4 linked regions of the Yarrowia lipolytica genome follow. The protein of the gene in region 1 purifies or fractionates together with the protein of each later gene. This does not show direct contact. Links are inferred from orthologs where the notes say so. Each region holds a gene or a part of one and is shown on either strand. Other genes may lie near its edges. The genes, in order: YALI1_B01698g, YALI1_A12302g, YALI1_B13137g and YALI1_D11722g.

Region 1 (6,630 bases):
TACATTTGAGTGTTTATAATGGAATCTGTAGCATTTTTAGTACATCCTGGTCCTGATTTGATGACTCCGACATATATACTGGCGTTAACAACGAGGGATAATAGCAATGGAATAACCATGACAACAAAGGGCGGATGTTTGGTGGTATAGCACCATGGAAATACTCCAGGAATACATATCTTCTACTACAAGATGCGCATTTGGCAATTGTGAAGACACCTACATACTGTCGAGCTAACCCATGATGTGTAACGACTTTAGAAATCGATACAGACAAGCTAGAGACACGGGGACTTCGAAATTGCCTCATTCCGGAGTCTACATTTCCAATTCCGCTTCAATCAGCTCTCGAAATGCTGAAAATGAAAAAATGTGGCTGTTCCGGATGATATACCGTAAAGTCTATGCGCCAAAGTGCGCCTTACGGACCCCTTAGCCCTGTCACGGGACTATGATACTACAATAAGACAGCTTTATAAGCATCTAACCGTAAGACCCACTTTCAACATTCATAGAGCAGACCTCCTCGATCTTGGTGTACTTCCATATTTTCAATTTAGTAGCCCTGGGTTAAGGAAATACATTGTGGAGATCGGTCGGGCTCCAGCTGTCGAATGGCACCACTCATTAGTCTGTAGCAGATATACTTTCAATGCCTGGCTGGGTATTACCACGTAACCATCATCAAAATATCATTTTTATGCTTGTCTCATCTCATGGCAAAATGATGCAATAAGTTATCTCGATATACCGTACACGTATAAAGAGGCTGTCGGGGTCTCGTGAGACTGGGTGACGCGGGTCCCAGGTTCTGTTTAGGGCACGATCGTCTCAGAGTTTCAAAACTGCGGAATGTGTGAAGCGTCTCTGCACCAACTCTTTCTTATACTTGTGGGGCTCTCCGCTTCAGGGGACTCGTTTGATGTTGTGTATATGAGTGGCCGAATGATTGGGTAGGGTGGTGGGCGGTAGAGAAGAGACCTTGACAGAGACCTTGACAGAGACCTTGACAGAGACCTTGACAGAGACCTTGACAAGAGACCTTGACAGAGACCTTGAGCGGGGGAAAAAAACCGTTAGAAAAACGAGGAGAAGAGGCCTTGAGCGTGGAACAAACGTGAAGGAAAACGTTGGGAAATGGAGAAATGGGTAACCACCAGTATCCTGAGTCGAGTGTCTATCTGTCAACAGTCGGATAAGACCCAAGCGGTTGTTGTGTTTCGTCCACATCCCACCATCTATTCCTCATAACCAGGAGGAGCCTCGTACTGTGGCAAATCCGGCTCGATGCCGTCTCGCGCCACCGAAACCTGTCTCTGGACTCTCTCCCTGAACGCTGTGTGTTTCTCCGCCAGAACCTTTTGGAACTCAATGGCACCACCCTCGCGAAAGTACAGATCGGCTCGCCACGTGGTTCCGTCCCGTCTCAGCCCGGGAACCAGATGCAGGCCTCTCTCGGCCTTGGGAATCGCCACAAACGAAATGTCCACCGAGTTGGGGCCAAACCACGGCTGAGTCAGCTGCACCTTGAGAATGTTGGTCATGGGAATTTCCAGCGAGGCGAAATTGACACAGTCCAGCTTGAACGCGACCACGTGAGGCAGCTGGGGCGCGTTGTCCGAGTCCGACTGCACAATGACCCGAGTGGCGTCAATCAGAACTGTCACTCCAGTCGCCTCGTATCGCACCGGAGATCGGCCCTCATCATAGGGCTTGGAGGTTTCGGTGAGTACCAGTTGCACGCTTTTGGCGCAGAGCTGCATGCCCGACGTTGATGTTGAGTTGGTGCTGTTGAGTGACATGTGGGTTGTGAGAAGTGTTGCTGGTACCGTTCTGTTGTGGTACAGTTCTGGAGATGCTGTCAAGTCCGGTGATGCGAGTCTAAGTTCAGGTGCGGTGTTTCTGCCATGATAGTGGGGATTCCTTTGGGGGTCATTTGGGGGTCGTTTGGGGAGTTGGCGTGGTCAGAAGGAGGATGTGGACGGTTGTTGTGAGACTTACAGAATCGATATCTAGAGGTTTCCTTTTTTCCAGATTTTATTTGATTAAATATAATTTAGAATAATCTAATCGTTTGAATTTATCAGAAACTTACATTTCAGGAAATTCAGTAAAAATAGCAATTTCAGAAGAAGAGAATAAATTCAGAAAAATGACAAGAAAAATGAAAACTTCAGAACATTTCCTTGCAAATTATAGAGACGTGTACAAATATATATTGTGCGCTATTCAACGGCCATATAATGAACCTCGCTCTACCCAAACCACCCAAATAGCTTGAATTTCTCCGAAATTTCGAATTTACTCAAAAAAAAAAAAAAAAAAAAAAAAAAAAAAAAAAAAAACCAACCTCAATTACTCAATTACTCAATAACTCCTCGATAACTCTTCCAAAACAATAAAAATAGTCGGAAAAAAACGCCAGTTGATTCGCCACATCGCACAGACTCCTCCACTCTCAGTACAGTCGCCCTTCTCCTCTTTTCTGGGCCGCCTGGAAGACATTGCCATCGATCCGATAAGCTTATTTTGACCAGAAAAATGGAGAGTTTGGGTGGTGAATTAGAAAGGCAAAAAGGTGGATCTATGGAGATGATTGAGACTGTTAGATGGGGAATAAATTGGGGGAATATTATAATATGGATTTTTCAATAACAAAAACTATACCATTTATATTTCTCCTATTTTTCTTTCATTTTTTTCCATTTTTTCCGACAAAATTTACACACAGCCCATGGGAGTTTAGTTAGGCTAATATAGTGCCTGCCTTACAAAAAAAAACTCGGTCTCAATCTGTAGTGTTGTTTTCCAGCGCCAAAAAAATCAACATACAATGACTAATTCAGACCAATCTCGATCACATGACTCCTCATCCCGATATTACGGGTATTCATACTCGTACCCGTACTCATTTTATAGTCATTGCCACCTCACGTGACCATAATAACCTCTGCATATCCCAAAACGTTAACCTTAAAAGTTTTATGCAGCTGCGTCAGCTCCCAAAAAAAAAATCCTCCACTTTCTACACACGCAACACACTCTACTGTTTTCAACTTTCAACGAGGAAAAATGCAACTAACGTGGAAAGATATTCCGACGATTCCGAACCAGAGCGAGTTTCTGGACATTGTGCTGAACCGGACGCAGCGAAAGACGCCCACGGTAATTCGAGCCGGGTTCAAAATCTCGCGAATCCGGGCGTTTTACATGCGAAAAGTGCGATTCACAGCGGACGGATTTGTGGAGAAGCTCAACGAGATTGTCACGTCGTTCCCCAACATTAACGAAATCCACCCGTTCCATCGAGACCTGCTCGATACCCTGTACGAGAAGAACCACTACAAGGTGTCTCTGGCATCCCTGTCCCGAGCCAAGTCGCTCATCGATCAGGTGTCACGTGATTACGTGCGTCTGCTCAAGTTTGGTCAGTCTCTTTTCCAGTGCAAGCAGCTCAAGCGGGCTGCTCTTGGTCGTATGGCCACCATTATGAAGCGGCTTAAGGACCCTCTTGTCTATCTTGAGCAAGTTCGGCAGCATCTTGGTCGATTGCCCTCCATCGATCCCAACACTCGAACCCTGCTCATCTGTGGCTATCCCAATGTTGGCAAGTCTTCGTTCCTCAAGTCTGTGACTCGAGCCGAGGTCGAGGTCCAGCCCTATGCGTTTACCACCAAGTCTCTGTATGTCGGCCATTTCGACTACAAGTATCTGCGGTTCCAGGCGATTGACACTCCCGGTATTCTGGACCGTCCCACCGAGGAGATGAACAACATTGAAATGCAGTCCATCTACGCCATTGCCCACATTCGGTCGTGTGTGCTGTATTTCATGGACGTTTCCGAGCAGTGTGGCTTTTCTGTGGCCGAGCAGGTCAAGCTGTTCCATTCCATCAAGCCGCTGTTTGCCAACAAGCAGGTGATTGTGGTCATCAACAAGATTGACGTCAAGCGACCGGAGGATCTGGATGAGGAGAACCAGGAGCTTCTCAAGGGCATTGCTGCCCAGCCCGACGTGGAGATTATGCAGCTGTCGTGCCATGCCGAGGAGGGTCTTATGGAGGTGCGAAACCGGGCGTGCGAGAAGCTGTTGGCGGCTCGAGTGGAGCAGAAGCTGCGTCATGTCAAGGGTGGCGCCTCTTCGGATCTGCTCAACCAGGTCCATATTGCCCAGCCCGTCAAGCGAGACGACATTGAGCGGCCCTCGGCTGTGCCTGAGGCGGTCCAGTTCCTGCAAAAGTACGACAAGAACGACCCCAACAGACGAAAGCTGATGCGGGACATTCAGGACGAAAATGGAGGCGCTGGAGTCTTTTCCATTGACATGTCCAAGGATTATCTGCTGGAGGACGAGGCCTGGAAGAAGGACATTATGCCCGAGCTGCTCAACGGCCGAAATGTCTACGATTTCATCGACCCCGATATCGCCTCGAAGCTCCAGGCGCTGGAGGACGAGGAGGAGAAACTCGAGCAGGAGGGCTTCTACGACTCGGAGGAGGAAATTGAGGACGACGAGGCCGAGGATATCCACGAGCAGGCCCAGTGGCTGCGAAACAAGATCAAAATGATGCGAAACACGGCCCGGTCCAAGAAGTCACTCAAAAACAAGGCCGCCATCCCCAGAACAAAGACCAAAAAGTCGCTGGGAGACATGGAGGAGCATCTGGAGCGAGTGGGCTTCGATTCGTCTAAGGTGGTGGACCGAGCCAACGCCCTGGCCGAAGCCAAGGCCTCCGACGACGTGTCTGGCCACCAGACCTTCCTCAACGAGGCCGTCTCCACCCAGGAAATGTCCCTCATGCCCCTGGGCCAGTCCAACCGACGAGACGATGGTATTGTCACCACCGTGCGATCCAAGGCCGACCGAATGGCCAAGCACTCCCAGCGAAAGGGTAACATGAAGGCCCGACGAGGAGAGGCCGATCGACATATTGCCGAGACCAAGCCCAAGCATTTGTTTTCCGGAAAGAGAACTGTTGGATCGAATGATTGGAGATAGACAAAGTTTGAGGACGTAGTCCGAAACCGAGTCGGATTCAAGACATGGACGGTATTGATTACGGTATTGATTTGGTCGGCTCAGTGTCTCCAACCAACCTGGTTGGGTACTCACTTGGTCGTCACCTGGATTAGATAGATGGATCACGGAAAAGTTTTATATTAATAGATTGAGCATTGATTGAATAGGCGAGTTGAGTGACGAGAGTCGGTCTGGTCAGCTGTAACGATTGTAGCTCTGACATTGTAGCATTGTAGCGATGACAGTTCGCGGATCACGTGATGTGGTCGCCGAGTCACGTGACGCGGTCGTCAAGTCACCAGTTCGGATCGTATCATACATACAAGCCAGTACAGTCAAAAAAATCATGTGGAACTAGAACGGATACTCTTTCGGACATTCATGCCGATGGAACCCCTAAGCTCACTGAGTCATTCTGGAGACAATACCGGAGACCTCGTCAAGTTGTAGGCACTTGCCCAAGAAGCAGATTGCTGCTGAAGGTTGTAACAGTTCCAGTTGACATTGAACGGGGGAAGTGGATCTGGTTTCTCACGGAGGTCTGGTACTTTCAGCTGAGAAAGTGACGGAAACTCCAATGTTTGGATCACGTGCTCTCAAACCAGCAGAGACTGGACTCTCCCGGCTGTTCAACGCCTTATCATTACATGTACTAATGTCTGAGTGCTCCATGACCAGCTTTCTGAGAACACCAGCGTTTCTGAATGTCTCGAAAGATCTGGACCCAACTCCAAACAGCGCTGACAACGTCTCCAAAAGTTCTATACTGGCTATGAAGAACTGGTCACGTGACCAAGTCAAAGTCGTTACCCTTTGTTGTTCCAGATACGGCTCCCAAAACCCCCTTCCAGTCTCCCAAAATTCCCTGCCCTTCCTTCCTTCCTCCCTTTCTCAGTCACATGATTGGAGTATCCACACGTGATTAGATCATCTGCACGTGATTAGAGCATCTGCAAGTGATTATAGTCGCTTGACCACATTGCGTGACCGCTTCTCTTCTCAAGCTTGCCATGTCTTCCGGTGTGAGCACACTTCTATCTGTCCTATTTTCTAATTGTACCCAATTTTGTCAGAATTAGTACCAAATTAATCATCGAAACGACACGGTTTTAGTAAACTACTTTTTATCCCTCCAGTGCTGGTATTACAAAAGTTGGAGACACAAACGCTCGTCGGCCAGATTAAAGTGGAATGTCCGTGAAAATTCTGAAAATTGTACTGAAGCCTGAATGGGGTGTCAGAAGGGTTCCAAACGGTTCCAAGGTGTTCCAAAGTGTTCCAAAGCCTTTTTTTCAGGCGATTATTGTGGTTTTATTCTGCTTTTATGTCTTTCGGGGTCGTTTATTAAATCCCAATGTTCATATACATTGTCTGTTTAGGTGCCATATACAGAAGCCTTTCTTCTGCACAAGACTGCTCATTTGTGACGGTTACATAATCAGAACATTAGTAAAAATTATATCGTTGAAGAGCTCTTGTTCAGGTGAACACAATTGTTTTGTTGTTAACCGTCGATAGGTTTATTATTGGCTGGGTTGTGCACTTCTTTTCAGGGGACGGACCGTATGTAGCTCTGGAAGAATGAAGTCACCTCCAAGTCAATGAATCTCA
Region 2 (5,375 bases), on another chromosome or scaffold:
ACCTCGCATCCAACAAACATTGTGAGAACTGCGGGTGAAGTTCTTGCTTCTAGGTAAGTTACTCTTTTCACAACATTTCTTCGAAATCACAGCTGCCAGCAATTCCAGCTTTAACTGTCTGCAAAATGACCAAAGCTATACGATCAAGCGCCATGTCTGCCTTCTCTCCTGCTTGATCTTGTCTTTCTGCGACTACAGTACAACTACTACACACTCTTGTCGTACTCGGCAGACTCTCGTTGAAGAGTAACAGCACCTTAGAGCTTCCCCCTCTCTACAGATGCTCGCACTAGAACAGTGAGAGGTCAAAAGTTGATGAACCATTAGACCTGCTTCAACGGAGATTGACAAGAAGACGAAAGGATTTAGAACACTTGTCCATGACTGAATCTCCAACACCCTATACTCTACAATTAGGGAGAGATAACTCATCCTGAAGAGATGTCCGACCAAATATGGATACGGTCCTAGGAACATGTCTCAGGATCAGTATAATGGACGAAGGAGAATGGGCTTGAAGAAGGCGAACTGGTCAAGTCGGAACTTGCACTGTGTACTTGGTGGCAGAGACTTAGTTGGGGGTAGAGCTTGGTTACTTGTTGGTGGAGATTGGGTACGGTACAGTAGGTACTTGGTAGTAGAACTTGGGTGCTTGTTGGTAGACTGGATACTTGGTTGAACTAAAGCACCAAGAGTGCCAAAAGAGTGCTGAAACGCGAACGCCATACCGCACCTCGGCACCAACCCACCACCTACAGTTCACGGATAAAAATACACATACATCATTATGGATACATCAATTGGCAGGTCCCGGCATCTACTGCAGGTAAAGATGTCGCTTGGCAGCCATCTCAACGGCAGCAGCTCCCCAGTCCTCTCCGTGGTTGTGTCCATCAGGAGTGAGACCAGCTCGCTGAAGAGCCTGCTCCTCGGTCAGACAGGTGAGCACGCCGAAAATGACGGGGGTCTTGGTGGCGATCTGGGATTGCATGAGGCCCTGGGAAACGGCGTCGGCAATGTACTCAAAGTGCATGGTGGAGCCCTTGATGAGCACGCCGATGGAGATGACAGCGTCGTACTTGTGCGAGTCTGCCATCAGGTGGGTGATGTAGGGCAGCTCGTACGAGCCGGGCACAGACTCGATGAAAATGTTCTCTCGCTTGACCTTGAAGCCGCACAGAGAAGAGATGGTTCCGTCGAGCAGAGCCTTGATCACCTGCTCGTTCCATCGCGCGTGCACAATGGCGATCTTGAAGTCGGAGCCGTCGTAAATGGCGTCAGAAGCGCCAACACCCTTAATAGTACAGTCGGTCATTTTCAGTTGGTACAAAGTGCTGTGTGTGAGTGTGTGTTTTGGGGGTGGTGATGATGATACAGGGAGATCTGGGCCAACCCAATTGTAACCGCGTCTGCTGCATGACTGACAAATACCCGGGAGTTTGATTAGTCATCCAAAACGGCCCCGAAAACGGCCATTTTTCCGCCCAACCCTGTGTTTGGGCTCCAATGGCCAATAAACGAGTCGGATTTTTCGGTCTTTCCTCTCTCACACGCTCAGAACCACGATTATCGCTATCGACTGTTTTTTTCAGCTCCCATTTTTGTCTCAGGGTTAGGTTCGAGACATTCGTTTAGCCTCGGTCCTATGATCATCAGACTCAATTACAGTAATCTCAGAGATAAGAAAGAGCAACTGAGAGCGTGCTAGCTGTTGTCGCGCGCCGCTCAGGCTCCAAATGGCTGAGTAAGCCATCTCAGCCGTTTTCTCGGACCATTCCACCCGGCCTTACCCGCGAAACTTCATGCTCCAACATGGAACACTCTTGGCAGATTGTCCCGGCCTCCACCAAACACGACAAATGTACGCCCAGCCTCGCCGGACATTGTCATGAAACTCAATCCAACAATGCCATAGTTCGGTATCTTCCCGTGGCCTTCTTTCTGTGGCGATGGCTGACTGGCGGCAGCAAGTCGGAGACGAGACCTGCGCATACGATACCGTACAGCATGCACCAGACTCTGTACGGTGCAATACCGGCTCTGTACGGTGCAATACCGGCTCTGTACGGTGCAATACGGCTTTGTATGTACGGTTTTGAAGAGACTGAAACAGCGCCGGTTCAGGGACTCTGGGTACAATGAGACATGTTGCAGTGTTTGGGGTTTGAAACGAGTTGCGACATAGTACGAGTACAAGTACAAGTGCACATTTGCTCCAAGTTCTTGTACAAGTACAAACTTGTAGGACGTGAATGTCGATCTAACTGCGGGAAACGTATCGTGGCAACGGCTCAGCTTGTATAGTGTATGATACCTGGATGTACCGGTACAACTATGTACTGACCAGACTGTTCATCTTCACCACAGCAAAATGAGATTGCACACATCCTTCAGAATGAAACAATCAGTTGACATCTCTGGCATTCACATTCAAAAGCGCATATATGGACACCAGCTCGGAGTCAGGTCACGTGACCAGCAACCTTGTAGAGCCGTTCTGTTATTATACAAAAAAATTAAAAAATTAAAAATTAAAAAAATTAAAAAAAATGCGAGGTGAAATATTCGGGGGAAATAAAGTTTTTGTCAGGTGAAATTCAGAAAAACGAATCAACTGAGCTCACCGGTTCGTACGTCGGTTGAGAGTGTTGCTAACGACTCTGGAAGTCACAGATGACTGTTTTTCGAAGTGATCATCATATCATCGTATCAACTTTGGCACATGTTGGATCCGTTCGGGGAACCTCATCTGGCAACCTTATTTTCAATATATCTCCGTTATCAATGGGGAGTAGAGATATTGTAAATCTAACAACATTTTGGTATTTGCCAGGAGGTTAGGATTATTTTGATACCAATTTTGGACCAAATCGTCAGACCGTTGTATATCCAGCGCCATTTCTACCGTAATGTCGTATGTAAAACACGTCCCTAACCCCCGACGTTGAATTACCTTGAAAAACCTGACCCAACAGGCTGATTTGCATATCTACTACAGTAGCTGGACGCCACCAGCTCCGTGGTCCTGCTGACTAATCAAAAAGCCAAAACCCACATCAACCTTATCAAAATATTTTTTTCAGGCTGCAGGAAAATCTCGACTATTACGCACAAGATACACAACAACAACCATGAGCGAAATCAAGACAGTGACCGTGGAGAAGCCCGTGCCCGTGACGTACGATCTGGGCAACCTTGCAGTATTCGACACAAATCCCGTGGAGGTGGATCTAAACGACCTGAACGTGGACGGCCAGGCCCGAGAGGAGGCTCTCCAAGCCGTGTCTCGAGATAATGCCCAGCTGCTCATCAACCAGCTTCTGTCACAACCCATCAAGAACACCACGGACTCTAATTCGTCCAGCGGCAACCAGAACTCCACCATGTCTCTGATCATGCTGCCACAGCCGTCCACACGTCTCCCTCGAGAGAAGCCCATTCCCAAGCCCAAGGCCATGACCAAGTGGCAAGAGTTTGCTCTCAAGAAGGGCATCAAGTCCAAGGCCCGGGATGGCAAGCTTGTGTACGACGAGGCCACCGGCAAGTGGGTGCCCAAGTGGGGTTTCAACGGAAAGAACAAGGAGCTCGACCAGCAGTGGTGTGTTGAGGTGGACGATGGTAAGGGATCCAAGAAGAACCAGGAGGACGTTATGCTCGATCCTCGAGCTCTGGACCGAGCTTCTCGAAAGAAGCTGGTCAAGAAGAACCAGAAGCAGCATGAGCGAAACCTCAAGCGGGGCGTTTCGAAATAGGTGGAAAAATAGACTAATTATATTTTGATCATTAAGCGGGTAGGCGATAGCAGTTGTTTGGTGGATGTAACGTACTTGTACAAGTTCAATGCGGTAGTTATGACTGATCTAGCGGTGTATGTTGTCGTAGTTCAACCTCTGTGACTGAGGTTAGTTCTATCGAGTGTAGTTGACTGGGACTGACGACTGGAGATGTTGCTAATGCTTGAACGTTGACTGCGAGTGCGAGTACAGTACGGATACTTTGCACAATAGATGTATAGCCCACTCGAGTCGATTGTAGCAGTCATCTGTCTCGTAAACTGCTGGAGACCATCCAAACATGCATCTCTCAATCCAGAAGTAACAGAATAGCACGAACACGAACAGTACGAACAGTACCGATACTGGAAATCGTGTTTGTTGGTAACGTCTGGGATTGACACTCCGATCAAACGCCGTTATCCGGTAGTTCAAATCACTTGGTCGGCGTTCTGTGCAAAACTGCTTGTGCTGTACAACATACTTATCATCTGATAGTTCCACACAGTGGAAGGGGTGAATGTGGATTCTGACAAGACCATTCACATGATTGTTTTTCCATAGAATAGTTATCTTTCATCTCCGAAGACATGTCCCATGGAGAATGGTAGGCAGAGTTCTGGGTGAGAGAGAAAGACATCCAGATCTACCGTAATTCTTTAAATGTTGAGATCATTTTAATTAATAGGTTTTACTCTGGAAATAAATCTTTATCCTGTCAATTTTCAGCCCTTTTCTTCGTTTTTTCTCCGAATTTCCTCACTTTTCCCATTTATTCCAATTTCCCAACCTGATCATATATTTTTTCCAATCTCCACCAATTTTTTGATCCAATTTTTAGTCCACAATGACCCAATAATGGCCTAACAATGGCCTAAAAAGGACCCCCGACCCAATAATGACCCAATAATGACCCTAAAAATGACCCTAAAAATGACCTATAAAAATGACCTAAAAATGACCCAATAATCTAACTGTACCTCCCAATAGTGGATGTACTGTAAAGCAGTGCACAAGCGACAACAAAACACCTAATGACCACACAAAACAGGCTAGAATCGCGACTAGAGGACCGTTTTCCGTCAAATTTCGAGCACAGAACCAACCGAGTATTTCCAACGCCACCAAAAACCAACATGTCCTAAAATATTACGAAAAACAATGGCGGAAATCATTGCTGATACCCAGACGAACCCCGCATATTTTTTTATTTTTTTTCTGCAATATACTTCATATTAAATTATAACTTTGCTGTTGAAAGGAATAAACCTTTGAAATGAATGTAACGCTTACACGAATATTACTAATTAAACACGTTTTAGTGTCATGGTTCCAACTTGGCCACGTAACTATTTCCAGTAAAAAAATCATAAAAAAACCTGTCGTTCAGTTCCGTGTTTGTATGTTGGTCCACATAGCTTCGCGTGTTTGTTCGTTCATCGGGAAAACGCCACTCCAGTCTCCAGTTCTCTAATCTCAATCCTTCCATTGCCCTCTTCGTTTGCATTGCCTTTGAAAACGTCTCCTTGTGGTTCTTCTTCGTCATTGGTTTGGTTCTGCGTCCCCTGTGGTGTGACTACGCGCCCTGCTACTGCTCTTTTC
Region 3 (5,114 bases), about 1.1 Mb from region 1:
TCCTTGATGGTATGACTGTAACTCAGTAATTCAGGTCAACTACATATGTACAGTATGTATGTAGTATTGTTCTTACATGATACATTCGTAGTAAGGGTATTCGTTTTCAATTTTACAGAGCATTCCCTTAGCTCGTGCTACAAGTGCGTTGGGTAAGGATGATTTGCTACGCCTCATGATCTTCGCTCCCCTCGTGCTCTTCGGTTAATCAGTTACTATATACACAACAAGATTATTGCTTCTTCTTGTTCTTCAACTTCTGCTTATGCTTCTGTTGCCAGGTCAACTTTGTCTGGGGCTCTTCAAGCGCCTTCTTTTTGTCCTCCTTTCGCTTCTCCTTAATGTCCTCCACAAGCCCGACGGTGTTAGCCTTGAGGGTGTTGAAGTCGCGCTCAAAGCCGCGCTTGTACTCGTTGATATAGAAGGACTTGCCCTCCTTGAGCTTTCGCTCGGCCTTGGCGGCGTCCTGGATTCGCCAGTGCTGTTTGATCTTGTCGTCCTCAGACAGACCCTTTTCGGCCTCCTTGATGGATTTCTTTCCAAACAGTACATCCCATACTCGTCCGTCGCCCCAGAACCAGCCGGATCGATCGACCACCCAGGGAACCCAACTCTTGCCTTCCCAGATGAAGAAGAAGAAGGATGACTTGGAGGCGGTACCGTAGAAACCGTCCTTGGTGAAAATGGTTGTCCTCTCTCCACATCGCAGCTGGTTGAGGTTCACTGTGTAGACGGGAGAGGGTCTACCAGGAAGATAGGGGTGGGTCACAAACCGAATGTGATCCACGCCCTGCATGTGCTCGGGAACACCCTTCATGTAGGTGCCAGGAAGGTAGTACAGACGTCGGATCAGTCTGCCAGGGAAACGAGCAAGAACGTAGGACATGAAGAGGAAAATGGAGGTAAAGGCAATGGGCACAGCAGATCTCAGTCCAAACTTGAACATCTGGTGCACAAATGGCTCGTCGGTGGGGTTCATCTTCCAGTCCATGTAGGCAGCACTCAGCAGGTTCTCTCCAAACATGATTCCGTACAAAGCCAGCACAAACGAGCCACAGAAACAAATGACAAAGTAGAGACGGTGGGGCTCGGCTTCGTACAGCAACTCGGGCTCCTTTTTGTTTTTCAGGATCAGCATCATTTCAGTGAAAGAGAGCCGAGGGCCGACCACAGGAGTGTCGGGTTTGGGAATGATGGTCGGCTGGGCCTCCTTACCGAGAGGGAAAGATGGGATTCGAGATCGCAACGAGTTGCTTCGAGGGTCAATAGGATCGATATCTCGGGGCAGATCAGAGTCGGTCTTTTTGCCTCGAACAGCCATAAGAACAGGGACAGCTGGAGCTCGAGAAATGGGCCGATTCACAAGCATCGAAAGCGGTCGCAGATGCTGCTGAACCAGCGACTTGCCGGGCGAGGCCAAGAGACCCCGCCTCGCCGTGTTCAAAACGAGAAGCATGGTGGTTGTGATTTTGAGTAATAGCAGGCAGATATTTCTGGCGGTAGGAGGTGCATGTTGGTTTAGGGTTAGGGTATGGGGATATTTGACTGGTAAAAAAGTACTCCGCAACGGAGAATTGAACTCCGGTCCCCCGCGTGCTGGTGTAAACCTGACAGGCGGAAATTCTAGCCACTAAACTATTGCGGAAGATGGAGTAAAAAGTCGTTAAAATAATATGTTGCAAAAGATGTAAAAAAAGAGAAATTTGGCTGGTTTTAGGGGTTTTAGTGATAGTAAAACCCTTTTTGTCTATTAATTATTCAGAATCCGAAATATTCAGGCTTTTAAATCCAAATATGAGGGTGTTATGATGTCTATAAGTTTCCAGTGAAAACTCCATATACAGTAGATAGAAGTATGACTCGAGATAAAGGACTACTAGAAGATATATAAATGTACAGGAACATTTAATTATGTGAATAAAGCATATAAATGAACTACATGTTCAATAAAAATCATGTCTGAGCTGTGGAGGATCAAAATTCTAAACAACTAGCGCAAGTGAACGAGGTAAGACACATAAATGAGGTAATGGAGGCCTAAAAACTTCAATGAATAACGATTTGAGGTTTACCCAATTGGTTTGTTGACTATTCAATGACGATTCGTCTCATTATGCTCTTAAAAGGTCCCTTTCTTGTATCCACTGTTTGACCATAGGGATGTATACTCTTCAGCAGCAGAATCTTCTGTGTGTTGATGATGAGATCACGAGAGTGTATTTATCAGTTCAGAAACATCACACAAGCACAAGTACAAGTACCTCGTTTACAATTTAAAGACTCTTGTTCATAGCAAGTATTAGTACAAGTAGACAAGATGCCTCTGATTCATTCTTTTGAGCAAGTCAAATATGTGAAGTACGGGTCATCAGGAGTGCTCAATTCTAGCCGCAATGCGTTTTTAAGAGCCATTGACACCTCTCTAAATCTGCTCTCTATTTGTAGACTCCATAAGACGCTTTTCGATCAACTCGTTCGTTCCAAGCCGCCTTGTTCTTAGTAAGCGGTGAGCTTATAGCGGGACTGCATTTATTTGGATTTATTTGGATTAAATGAGATAAAATCCGATAAAATCCGATAAAAATCGACAAAATAGGCAAAACGGAAATTGACTGAGATTTATCACGTGGATATTTCAATGAGCATGTCACACTCATTGTACCTCTCATATACAACACATTATCCCTGTTCGCTTACTCTCGCCACAGACTTTGGACGTGCAGAATTTTCAAACTCAAATAAATATTTTTGACATAGAGTGCATGCGGAAGATTTCGTTCATCATCATACACAACCTCACAACCGCACAACCACAAAATGCGAGTGTACAACTGTCATTTCTGCTCGTCGCCAGTGTATCCCGGTAAGGGAATCATGTTCGTGCGTAACGACTCCAAGGAGTTTCGTTTCTGCCGATCCAAGTGCCACAAGAACTTCAAGATGAAGCGAAACCCCCGAAAGCTGCGATGGACCAAGGCGTTCCGAAAGGCTGCTGGCAAGGAGATGGTGGTGGATTCCACCCTGGCCTTCTCTGCCCGACGAGACGTGCCCGTGCGATACAACCGAGACCTCGTGGAGAAGACTCTGGAGGCCATGGAGAAGGTGGAGGAGATCCGGCTCAAGCGAGAGCGGGCCTTCTACAAGAACCGAATGCGGGGCAACAAGGCCGCCCAGCTGGAGGAGGACCGAAAACTGGTCGAGGCTCACCCCGAGCTGCTGCGAGAGCGAGAGGTGGAGCTCCGACGAATGCAGGAGGCCGGCGAGGACGACGACGACGAAGACATGTCCGAGATGGAGGTGTCCGAGGAGGAGGAGTCCGAGGAGGAGCGGGAGAAGGTCGAGATTGCGCTCAAGTCCAAGAGCAAGCGAAAGATGCGAGCTTGAAGAAAACGCACCAGAGAATATTAAGTTATTGCATGGGGATGTTGGCAAGCCGATGTGTCTTGTTATTATGACTAATAGATTATTTACCGAACGAACATCGGGTTTGAAGAACGACATGTGGTTCTATTGAGAGCGCACTTGTGAATCGACCTGAGAGGAGAGCGTGCAAACGCGGTACTAGTGTGCATTGAGCGAAGACCGAGTGTGTCTTCGTGAACTCACTGTTCCCTGCGGACGACTACCGTAGAACACAGCATGAACGAAGGGAAAATACTCCTTTTTGAAGCAAACATCGGAGCGTTTTATGTACTTGTAGTTTACAGTACATGTAGTCTTGTATAATGGTTAGGGAGACTTTGATGCTACTAATCGTGAGATGAGAGGATAGTAGAGGTGGTTCTGTTCACTGTCTATGTGTCTTTGGAGTCGATCAAGTCTTTATACCCCAATTGCCGTTTCTTCTGGGTCTCGGGACTCAAGAAAACCGGACTTACATCTCAACATCTCAACATTCATTATAGAGCCACAATAATAGGTTGCGCGTACCCATCTTGTCTTGGGCTATCATTCGATACCATTTTTACTCTTTTTCAAGTCTCATCATGCCATGATAGAAACCCCCCTTCTCTTCTACAGTACAGTACATACTGTAGTTTATGATACTTGTTAAGGTTGCAGTATATCTACATCATAGCTGTTCAATCTTGCTCAGTTTTCTTTCGATTTGAATATACTCACCTTCAACATGGTTGCGATTCCTGGAATATCCCCCCGTTGAAATTCCATCTTCCTCCCTCCTCTGCATGCCATTCTACCACCTCCCTCATCTTTTCAACATCGAACCTAATCCTCCACTCTTCTTCACCCCATGTCACAGACAACATCAGTGACCCGGCTGGCTCGTCTGGTGGCCGGGAAAACGACGGGCGACAGACGCGACATTTTCCGCGACTCGGTGCGCGTTTTCGGCGTTGTTCAGTCGCATGAATTCGACACTCTACGGCTCAAGGAGGTGCCAGAGCTGCACGCGTTGATGAAGGCCCAAAAGCTGCGCCAGGGCATCGAAGACAAACGTCCCGAGGCAGTGGTGACCCTGAGCATGGCTAAGAGCGGTCTGCACGAACATCTCATGGAAGGAACCATGATCATGGTGTACATTGTGATCCCTAGACACATGGTGGTGGACAATGAAGAGGACTACGGATTGCCACCCTCGTATGTCAACATTGATGTCGTGGCGGTGAACGTGCTGAGCCAAATGGGAATCTCGCCGCAGCAGGCAGATGTCATGCTCAAACTGGTTAGACAGGAGGCCCTCAGATTGGGACAGGAAAGTTGAGGGTCCCGATTTCCGGGTCTCACAACTCAACCTACGTGCGCGGTCAAATTGTCCATATTTTTCATGAACACGGGTTGTCTTAGCTAATTGAGCTATGTTCGAGACTCCGCAACTGCTACAGTGACCTAAAGTGACTGTGTCTTGTCCTCTCCATTCACTGAGCGACTCGAGCTACTGGGTGATCACGTCGCTCGGACAACTGACTGTGACTGCGTGATATGTCGCGTGAACGCAGTATTCTCACCATTTGATCCAGCACCCCAGTCGTGTCTGTCATTGTTCATTACAATCTCTGATACGATGAATCCCGACATTTACTAACTTGCATTGAATATATTTATTGTCATGAGCGTGTCAGCTCAAGTGAGTCGTTGTAGTTTGACCCATCTTT
Region 4 (7,043 bases), on another chromosome or scaffold:
AGTATATACTCGTACGGCACTTGTACTACTGGAATCGTAGCTACTTTTACTGGAATCGTAGCTACTTTTACTGGAATCGCAGTGACTTTTACTGGTCCCGTCGCTACTTGTATTGTAACCGCAGCTAGTCTCGAGCTATGCTGAACCGTCTGTGATTATCACCAGCTTTTCAGTCGTATATGATATTGGACCACAAGTATGGTATGGTATCTAGTCCAACCCCTCAAGAGTCTTACCAATAATGGTCCGCGTAAAGGATTGATTTACCGCCTCGCCATCTGTTCTTCCAGTCAATTAGGTCAACTAGTTTGGAACTAGTCTGGATCTACAGCAAGGTGCTAATTCAGACAACAAGAACACTCATTTCCGTCGTTTACTTCCAGAAAATGACATATATATACCCGTAGACCGTCACCGGTTATACCCCAGAGATCGCCATACCCCAAGGAACGTCATACCCCAAGGGAGATCTGTATAAAAGACGAAACATCTACCCTTTCTTGTAGAATTTGGTATAACTATGTTCACAGGACGCTGTTATACAAGCCAATGTGTTTTTACGACCAGGTACAAGCTCTGTAGATGTAACGAGTAAGGAAATTAGAACATTGTTATTCTGAAAACAAGAGGACCCAGACGGCAACTTTGGATACTTATGATCCGCAGCACACTCTCAATCTACTCTACAAGAGCAAGACATGTCTGGAGACTTCAAATACCTGTCGTTTAGACAATGAATCTTGATACTCGGCTGTTTCAAAGGCCCACTATTGTTATATTGCTGATGAGACTTACCAGGTGTCTGTGCATGACTATTTCAGAGTCAGCATAGGAATCCGTGATGGACAAGTCTGCTCATAGATATGTAGAGGCGACCTATATTTATGTAGCGCTGTAATTGCACAAGTAATATACCGGTACTTGAACAGGTAGATACTGTGCTCACACGTCTTGCTTTATCCGATTGAACTTGACCCAGACATGGCCATTCAAGGTCTGATACAGGAAGGAGAATTGTCGATTGTATGTCCGGTGATTGAACTGAATGCTCAGGAAAGACAAAACATGCGATTATATTAGTACACACAGTACCCGCATTAGTACCGGTAGAATTACTTGTTTTACTTATAAAAAAGCCATTTACGACAGTAATTAGACTGGATTTCTTCTAAAATATCGTCATTATGTTTACACCTACTGACACTCTCGTATTTGACTGACTATCTTTCAACTTCTATATCTCCGGTCTACTTACCCACCAAACAGTCTGGTAGCGTAATAAACCACTACAACACACAGAAACTGTACAAAGCCTTCTCTGAATCCCACGGGACATGCTTCAGGAACGCTTCATACTCCGTCCAGGGGTATCGTGTCTTTGGGCATCATCTGGCCCAACACCAACAACGTCAATTGAGCTTCCTGAAACGACTCATCGAAGATCTGAATCCTAGAAACGTTTTAGATACTCAATTGAAGCGAGAGAGTTCGATTATGCCGGGCTCTCATTGAGCGACTTTGGCACTTTCAACGGAGTCTTCAAAACCCCAAAGTGCACAACACGTCTCAAACAGCACTTGTTGATACACAGTTGTTAGGTGCCCGAATAAACCCGACGAGAGGAAACACATATCTGAGAATATATACCAATACAGCACAGCAGCAGTACTCTTTCGAGTCAGCCCAAATCTCCTCCATTTCCTCCAGAAACTCAAAATTAATTAACGTTGGATTTATTGACAATTTATTCGTCTCGACTGCGAATTAGCCGTGTAAATTAAAAATCCAGAGTTATGCACCATCATGCACGCTTAAAACTCTAACAAAAGCTTATTTGACTCGATTTTTTTCTGCTAAACTCAATTTACTGACTACCTGAGAAGTACGAGTACGAGTGAGTTGAAATCGATATGCAATGAAAAAGAGGCCATCTTACAGTAACAAACTGACATCGTCCCTGTCTGTGAACGACTTGAGTCGAATTTGAGCCGAATTTGAGCTGAGACCTCTCTCGCCACATCTTGTCTTCATCGTCTTCATCTTCGTCTTCACCTACCGGATAACTTGATCTTCTCCAATAGCTTCTAGTATACCAACAAAATGACATTGTGGAGGAGATGTCGAGGTACTGTTTACAGAGTTGAATAGCCAGTCCTCTCTGGACACGTGATTCCTCCCGACACTTGATTAAACCGGAATGAGCTCCAGAGTCAGTTTGAGACAGCCTTGCCGCGGAGATCTGCCTAGTCGACCTACCGCGTGGAACGGCCTGGATGATCATTGTCGATATACAGTACCGCGGAAAACTGCCTGATTCACTACTGTATGCTCTGTCGGAACTGGTCGTTGATATGGCCAGAAAACAACACTCCGGCCACCCACGGAACCATGCCAGAACGAGCTCGGTATAGGAGGGAAGGATTGGAGACAAGACGTGAATTCTCTCTCTTGTAATTGTTCGTGGGTCTAAGAATGAACATCTAGATGAACGCCTCTCAGCGCGGCTGTTTAAGACACACGCTAGAAAGGAGCCACTGGTAGAGTAAAACTCAAGCTGAGACGCGCTTTGGTTTCATTCTCGTACGAGTACAACCAACAATTGTACAAGTAGTTCTTCCTAGCACTGAGTAATTCTTCCTAGAGCGTCTCCTAGTGTGATTTTCCTTCTGGTTAGAATGTCTTTATAGGTGCTCCAATATGATCCAGTCCTACTCATTCAGGCTCAACTAAAGCTTAAGTAATTTTAGGGTCCCAGTTTCCACAAAAATGGCAATAAAATCATATTTTGTATGGAGAATATGGGAAATAATATAATTATTTTCATCAATATTCAAATTCCATACAATCTGAACCTTTCCCCATCTTTCTACCACCCCTGGAACACCATATTTGCACCCCCAGCCGAGTTTTCCTTAACAAGGTTTAACTAATCACCAGTCTCAGTCAGTGGCAAATACAAAGTCCATACCCGAGGATTATTGTCATGAACAACATTGCAACCAAGTCAGCTTCCAAAATCATCCCCCTCAAATGAATGAAATATACCGGAGGGTAGGATTTCGCCCCTTGTCCCCTTTCCAACTAATCCCAAGTAAATTACTCAACGGCCCGTCTATGCTTTGTGTTACCCTACCGAACCTTGAGGTTAAAAAATCGGACAGGCTGCATGAGCCTTCTAAAATTATTTTTCAGCTAACCATACAACCAGACAACCATGGGTAAAATTCAAAAGAAACACGGAAAAGGTCGATTGGATCACTACTATCGATTGGCCAAGGAGAAGGGCTACCGAGCGCGATCGTCGTTCAAAATCATCCAGATCAACCAGAAGTACGGCAAGTTTTTAGAAAAGTCCAAGGTGGTGATTGATCTGTGTGCTGCTCCTGGCTCGTGGTGTCAGGTGGCGTCGCAGCTCTGTCCCGTTAACTCACTCATCATCGGCTGTGATATTGTTCCCATCAAGCCGCTTCCTAACGTCATCACTTTCCAGTCAGATATCACCACTGACCACTGCCGACAGCAGCTTCGACAATACATGAAAACGTGGAAGGCGGACACAGTCATGCACGATGGTGCGCCCAACGTGGGTATGGCGTGGGCCCAGGATGCCTTCACGCAGTCCGAGCTGGTTCTGCAATCGCTCAAGCTGGCGGTGGAGTTCCTCAACAAGGGCGGAACCTTTGTCACCAAGGTGTTCCGATCCAAAGATTACAACAACCTCATGTGGGTGTTCCAGCAGTTTTTCGAGAAGGTGGAGGCCACCAAACCGCCCTCTTCGCGAAACGTGTCCGCCGAGATTTTCGTCGTCTGTCTTAAGTTCAAGGCTCCCAAGAAAATCGACCCCCGACTGCTGGACGCCAAGTACGTGTTCGAGGAGGTGTCTCAGGGCAACAACAACAACGAGGCCAAGGTGTTCAACCCCGAGGTCAAGCGACGAAAGCGAGAGGGTTACGAGGAGGGCGAGTACCTGCAACACAAGCGTCTGTCCATTCTGGACTTTATCACAGACTCTACTCCCATTGACAATCTGGGAGAGACCAACGAGATGACGTGGACCCCCAGATCCATCAAGGAGGGAGAGGTTGACGAGGAGGAAGAGAAGGAGAAGGATAAGGAGGCTCGAGACGAGCGGGGAAACGTCCAGTATGTGCTTGACGACAAGGTTTACTCGGACGAAGACGCTCTCAAGATGGTGTCCAAGCTGCCCCAGACCACCCCAGAGCTGCTCGAGTGTCTCAAGGATCTCAAGGTGCTAGGCCGAAAGGAGTTCCGGGCCATTCTCAAGTGGCGACTCAGCGCACGTGACCTTCTGCAGATTGACAAGCCCGAGGCCGGAGTGGAGGTTGAGGAGGAGGAGCTGGACGAGGACCAGCTGATTGACAAGGAGCTGTCTGAGCTTGGCGAGCGAGAAAAGGCCCGTAAGAAGCGGGAAAGACGACGCCGAAACGAAATGAAACAGCGAGAAATCCAGCGAATGCAGATGAACATGACCACCCCCACAGAGCTCGGTATCGAGGCTGCCAAAATGGAGTCACTGTTCAACCTGAAACAGGCGGAGCGAACCGGCAAGCTGAGCGAGCTGCAGAAGGGTAAGCGAAGCCATGTGAGCGAGACAGGCGACGAGCACGTGACTCTGGAAGAGGCCGAGCGGGTCGACTACGGCTCCGACGACGAGGCCAACGGTCTGGAGGATGAGCTCGAGTCCATGTACACCGAGTATCTGGAGAACAAGGCTGCTCGAACTGCCAAGAGTGTGGTTCAGCGAAAGAAAGCCAATGTTGAGACCGAGGAGTGGTTTGGTATTTCCGACAAGAAGGATGGTGACGAGTCTGACGGCGAAATGTCTGCTGACGATGTTGACATGGCCACCATTGACGATGGCGAAGACGAGGACGACGGCAAGACTGCCCGAACTCTCAACAACGGCAACATGTTCTTTTCCAACCCGATTTTCGACAATCTGGTGAACGCCGCCGTGGCCAAGACCGAGGCCAAACCCAAGGCTCTGGACCTGCTGGAGCCCGGAGCCAAGGACCTGATTGAGCTGGAGAAGGCCAAGAAGCGCAAGTACGCCAAGAAGAACGGTCTCGAATACTCCGACAGTGAAGACGAGGAGGACGATATCGTCATGGAGACCCAGAAGCAGGACGATTCTGACATTGAGTACGTGCATGGCGAGTCTGACTCCGACGACGAGCCCAACATTGATCTGGTGACCGACCAGGCCATGACCATGGCCCACCAGTTGGCCACCGGCCAGACCAACAAACACAAGCTCCAGGACGATGGCTACAACCGGTACTCGTTCCGAGACCTGGACGGCCTGCCCCAGTGGTTCCAGGACGACGAAAACAAACATAACAAGCTCAACAAGCCCATCACCAAGGAGGCTGTGGAGGCGCTTAAGCAGAAGATGAAGACTCTCAACGCCCGGCCCATCAAGAAGGTGTTGGAGGCCAAGGGCCGAAAGAAGATGCGAGCTCTCCGACGACTGGAGCAGATGAAGAAGAAGTCCGAGCTGATCAACGAAGATGGCGCGCGATCGGAGAAGGAGAAGGCCGATGACATTTCCAAGCTCATGCGAAAGCTCGCCAAGCCCCAGAAGTCCAAGAAGAAGACCGTCACCGTCGTCTACGCCGGAGGAAAGAACAAGGGTATTGCTGGCCGACCTAGAGGAGTCACAGGAAAGTATAAGATGGTTGATGGAACCATGAAGAAGGAGCAGCGTGCTATTCGACGAATTAAGAAGAAGATGGGCAAGAAATAGTCATATGGATAGAATTAATGGATGGTATTGTATTAGAATAGTGAGAGAGTGGATGTGATTGTTGGTGTTCAGTCAGTTGGACTGTATCTTTAGTTGAAATAGTTTTTTGGATCTACTTAGCATGAAAAGTCCACTGGGGGGCTCATTTCTGGTGTTCCTAACTTACTAGAGAAGAAAAGAGTGTGTCCTAGGATCACAGGGTACCTCTACTAAGTAGAATCAATCAACAGTTCTCCTTACTGATCCAGTCTCTTACTGGATGCGATCCACTACTCACCATATCAATCACCACTCACATCCGTAATCATGTATCTATTCATATTTACTACGAGGTGGCTCGCACTAGTTCTGCTCTCCCCCAGCCAGCGCAATGACTCCGCTGTTCTTCTCCACATCCTCGTCGGGCACAAAGAAGGCTCCTCCCAGGTAAATGGCTGGCTCCTCAATGTTGTTATGCTCGTAAGACAGCACACCGACTCCTCCTGCCTCGAGAATCAGAGCCGGGTTGATGGTGATGTCTCCGTTGACCCATCGCAGAGCAAAGACTCGCAGGATGTGGCCGTGTGCGAACACCATGACGTCGCAATGCTCCTTGCCCTCGTCGAGCGCCTTCTTGTGGATCACCCGGATCTCCTTGATGAGCTCGTCCACTCGCTTCTGCACCTGTTGGGGCGACTCTCCGTCCTCGCAGCCGTCGGACCAAATGTTCCACTTGTGGCCGTCCTTGTCGATGCCTCGCGCGGTTCGGTCGGCCCGGATTTCGGCTGACTTTCGGCCCTCGTACTTGCCGTAGTCCCACTCTCGAATGTCTTCGGTCACGGTCTGGGGGATCTTGGCGAGAGCCTCGGGCTCGTCCTCAAAAAAGAGCTTGAGCGTCTGCTGGGCACGAGATCGGGGCGAAACAAAAATGTGCTCCACGTACGCCGGGTTCACCAGCCGGTTTCGGCCCACCAGCGCCCGTCCCGTCGCTCGCACTCGCTTGACTCCGTTCTCAGTCAATGGCAGATCAGTCACCGACGTGTGTTGGCCGGACTTTGACCATTCGGTCTCGCCGTGTCGTACAAAGATAACTCGAGGGGCCATTGTGTGTGTGTGATGTGTGTGTGTGTGTGTGGGTGGTTTGTTGATGTGTACTTGCGTTTGGAGTGGTTGGAGGAAGAGAAAGAGTGGTCTTGGAGCACTCGTAGCAATCTTGGCAAGTTGCAATACCGCTTGCAGACAAACGCAACGGCTATTTAATGTTCGGTGACGTCAGCTGGGTGGGCCCAAACTAAGT

The links.
Region 2: the proteins of YALI1_B01698g (region 1) and YALI1_A12302g purify together in Saccharomyces cerevisiae (affinity purification with mass spectrometry, with the first as the bait; 3 studies listed by BioGRID). This does not show direct contact. The link is inferred for Yarrowia lipolytica from reciprocal best matches to the Saccharomyces cerevisiae genes NOG1 and RRS1.
Region 3: the proteins of YALI1_B01698g (region 1) and YALI1_B13137g purify together in Saccharomyces cerevisiae (affinity purification with mass spectrometry; 10 studies listed by BioGRID, with this or other methods). This does not show direct contact. The link is inferred for Yarrowia lipolytica from reciprocal best matches to the Saccharomyces cerevisiae genes NOG1 and RLP24.
Region 4: the proteins of YALI1_B01698g (region 1) and YALI1_D11722g purify together in Saccharomyces cerevisiae (affinity purification with mass spectrometry, with the first as the bait; 3 studies listed by BioGRID). This does not show direct contact. The link is inferred for Yarrowia lipolytica from reciprocal best matches to the Saccharomyces cerevisiae genes NOG1 and SPB1.

Annotation. Positions count from the first base shown.
Region 1 is NC_090771.1:166,336-172,965, reverse strand, and holds YALI1_B01698g (uncharacterized protein), read left to right. Parts: upstream 1-3,072; coding exon 3,073-4,998; downstream 4,999-6,630. Other genes in the region: YALI1_B01725g (uncharacterized protein), read left to right, coding at 354-372, 416-678; YALI1_B01719g (uncharacterized protein), read left to right, coding at 853-929, 973-1,153; YALI1_B01711g (uncharacterized protein), read right to left, coding at 1,239-1,802. UniProt on the Saccharomyces cerevisiae protein: Involved in the biogenesis of the 60S ribosomal subunit.
Region 2 is NC_090770.1:1,227,139-1,232,513, forward strand, and holds YALI1_A12302g (uncharacterized protein), read left to right. Parts: upstream 1-3,131; coding exon 3,132-3,752; downstream 3,753-5,375. Other genes in the region: YALI1_A12284g (uncharacterized protein), read right to left, coding at 818-1,315; YALI1_A12294g (uncharacterized protein), read right to left, coding at 1,801-2,314, 2,363-2,424. UniProt on the Saccharomyces cerevisiae protein: Required for ribosome biogenesis.
Region 3 is NC_090771.1:1,311,408-1,316,521, reverse strand, and holds YALI1_B13137g (ribosome biogenesis protein RLP24), read left to right. Parts: upstream 1-2,817; coding exon 2,818-3,384; downstream 3,385-5,114. Other genes in the region: YALI1_B13150g (uncharacterized protein), read right to left, coding at 233-1,456; YALI1_B13122g (uncharacterized protein), read left to right, coding at 4,253-4,723. UniProt on the Saccharomyces cerevisiae protein: Involved in the biogenesis of the 60S ribosomal subunit. Ensures the docking of NOG1 to pre-60S ribosomal particles. Activates and recruits ATPase AFG2 to cytoplasmic pre-60S ribosomal particles.
Region 4 is NC_090773.1:1,168,431-1,175,473, reverse strand, and holds YALI1_D11722g (uncharacterized protein), read left to right. Parts: upstream 1-3,214; coding exon 3,215-5,767; downstream 5,768-7,043. Other genes in the region: YALI1_D11686g (uncharacterized protein), read right to left, coding at 6,110-6,850. UniProt on the Saccharomyces cerevisiae protein: Required for proper assembly of pre-ribosomal particles during the biogenesis of the 60S ribosomal subunit. Specifically methylates the guanosine in position 2922 of the 25S rRNA at the stage of 27S pre-rRNA maturation.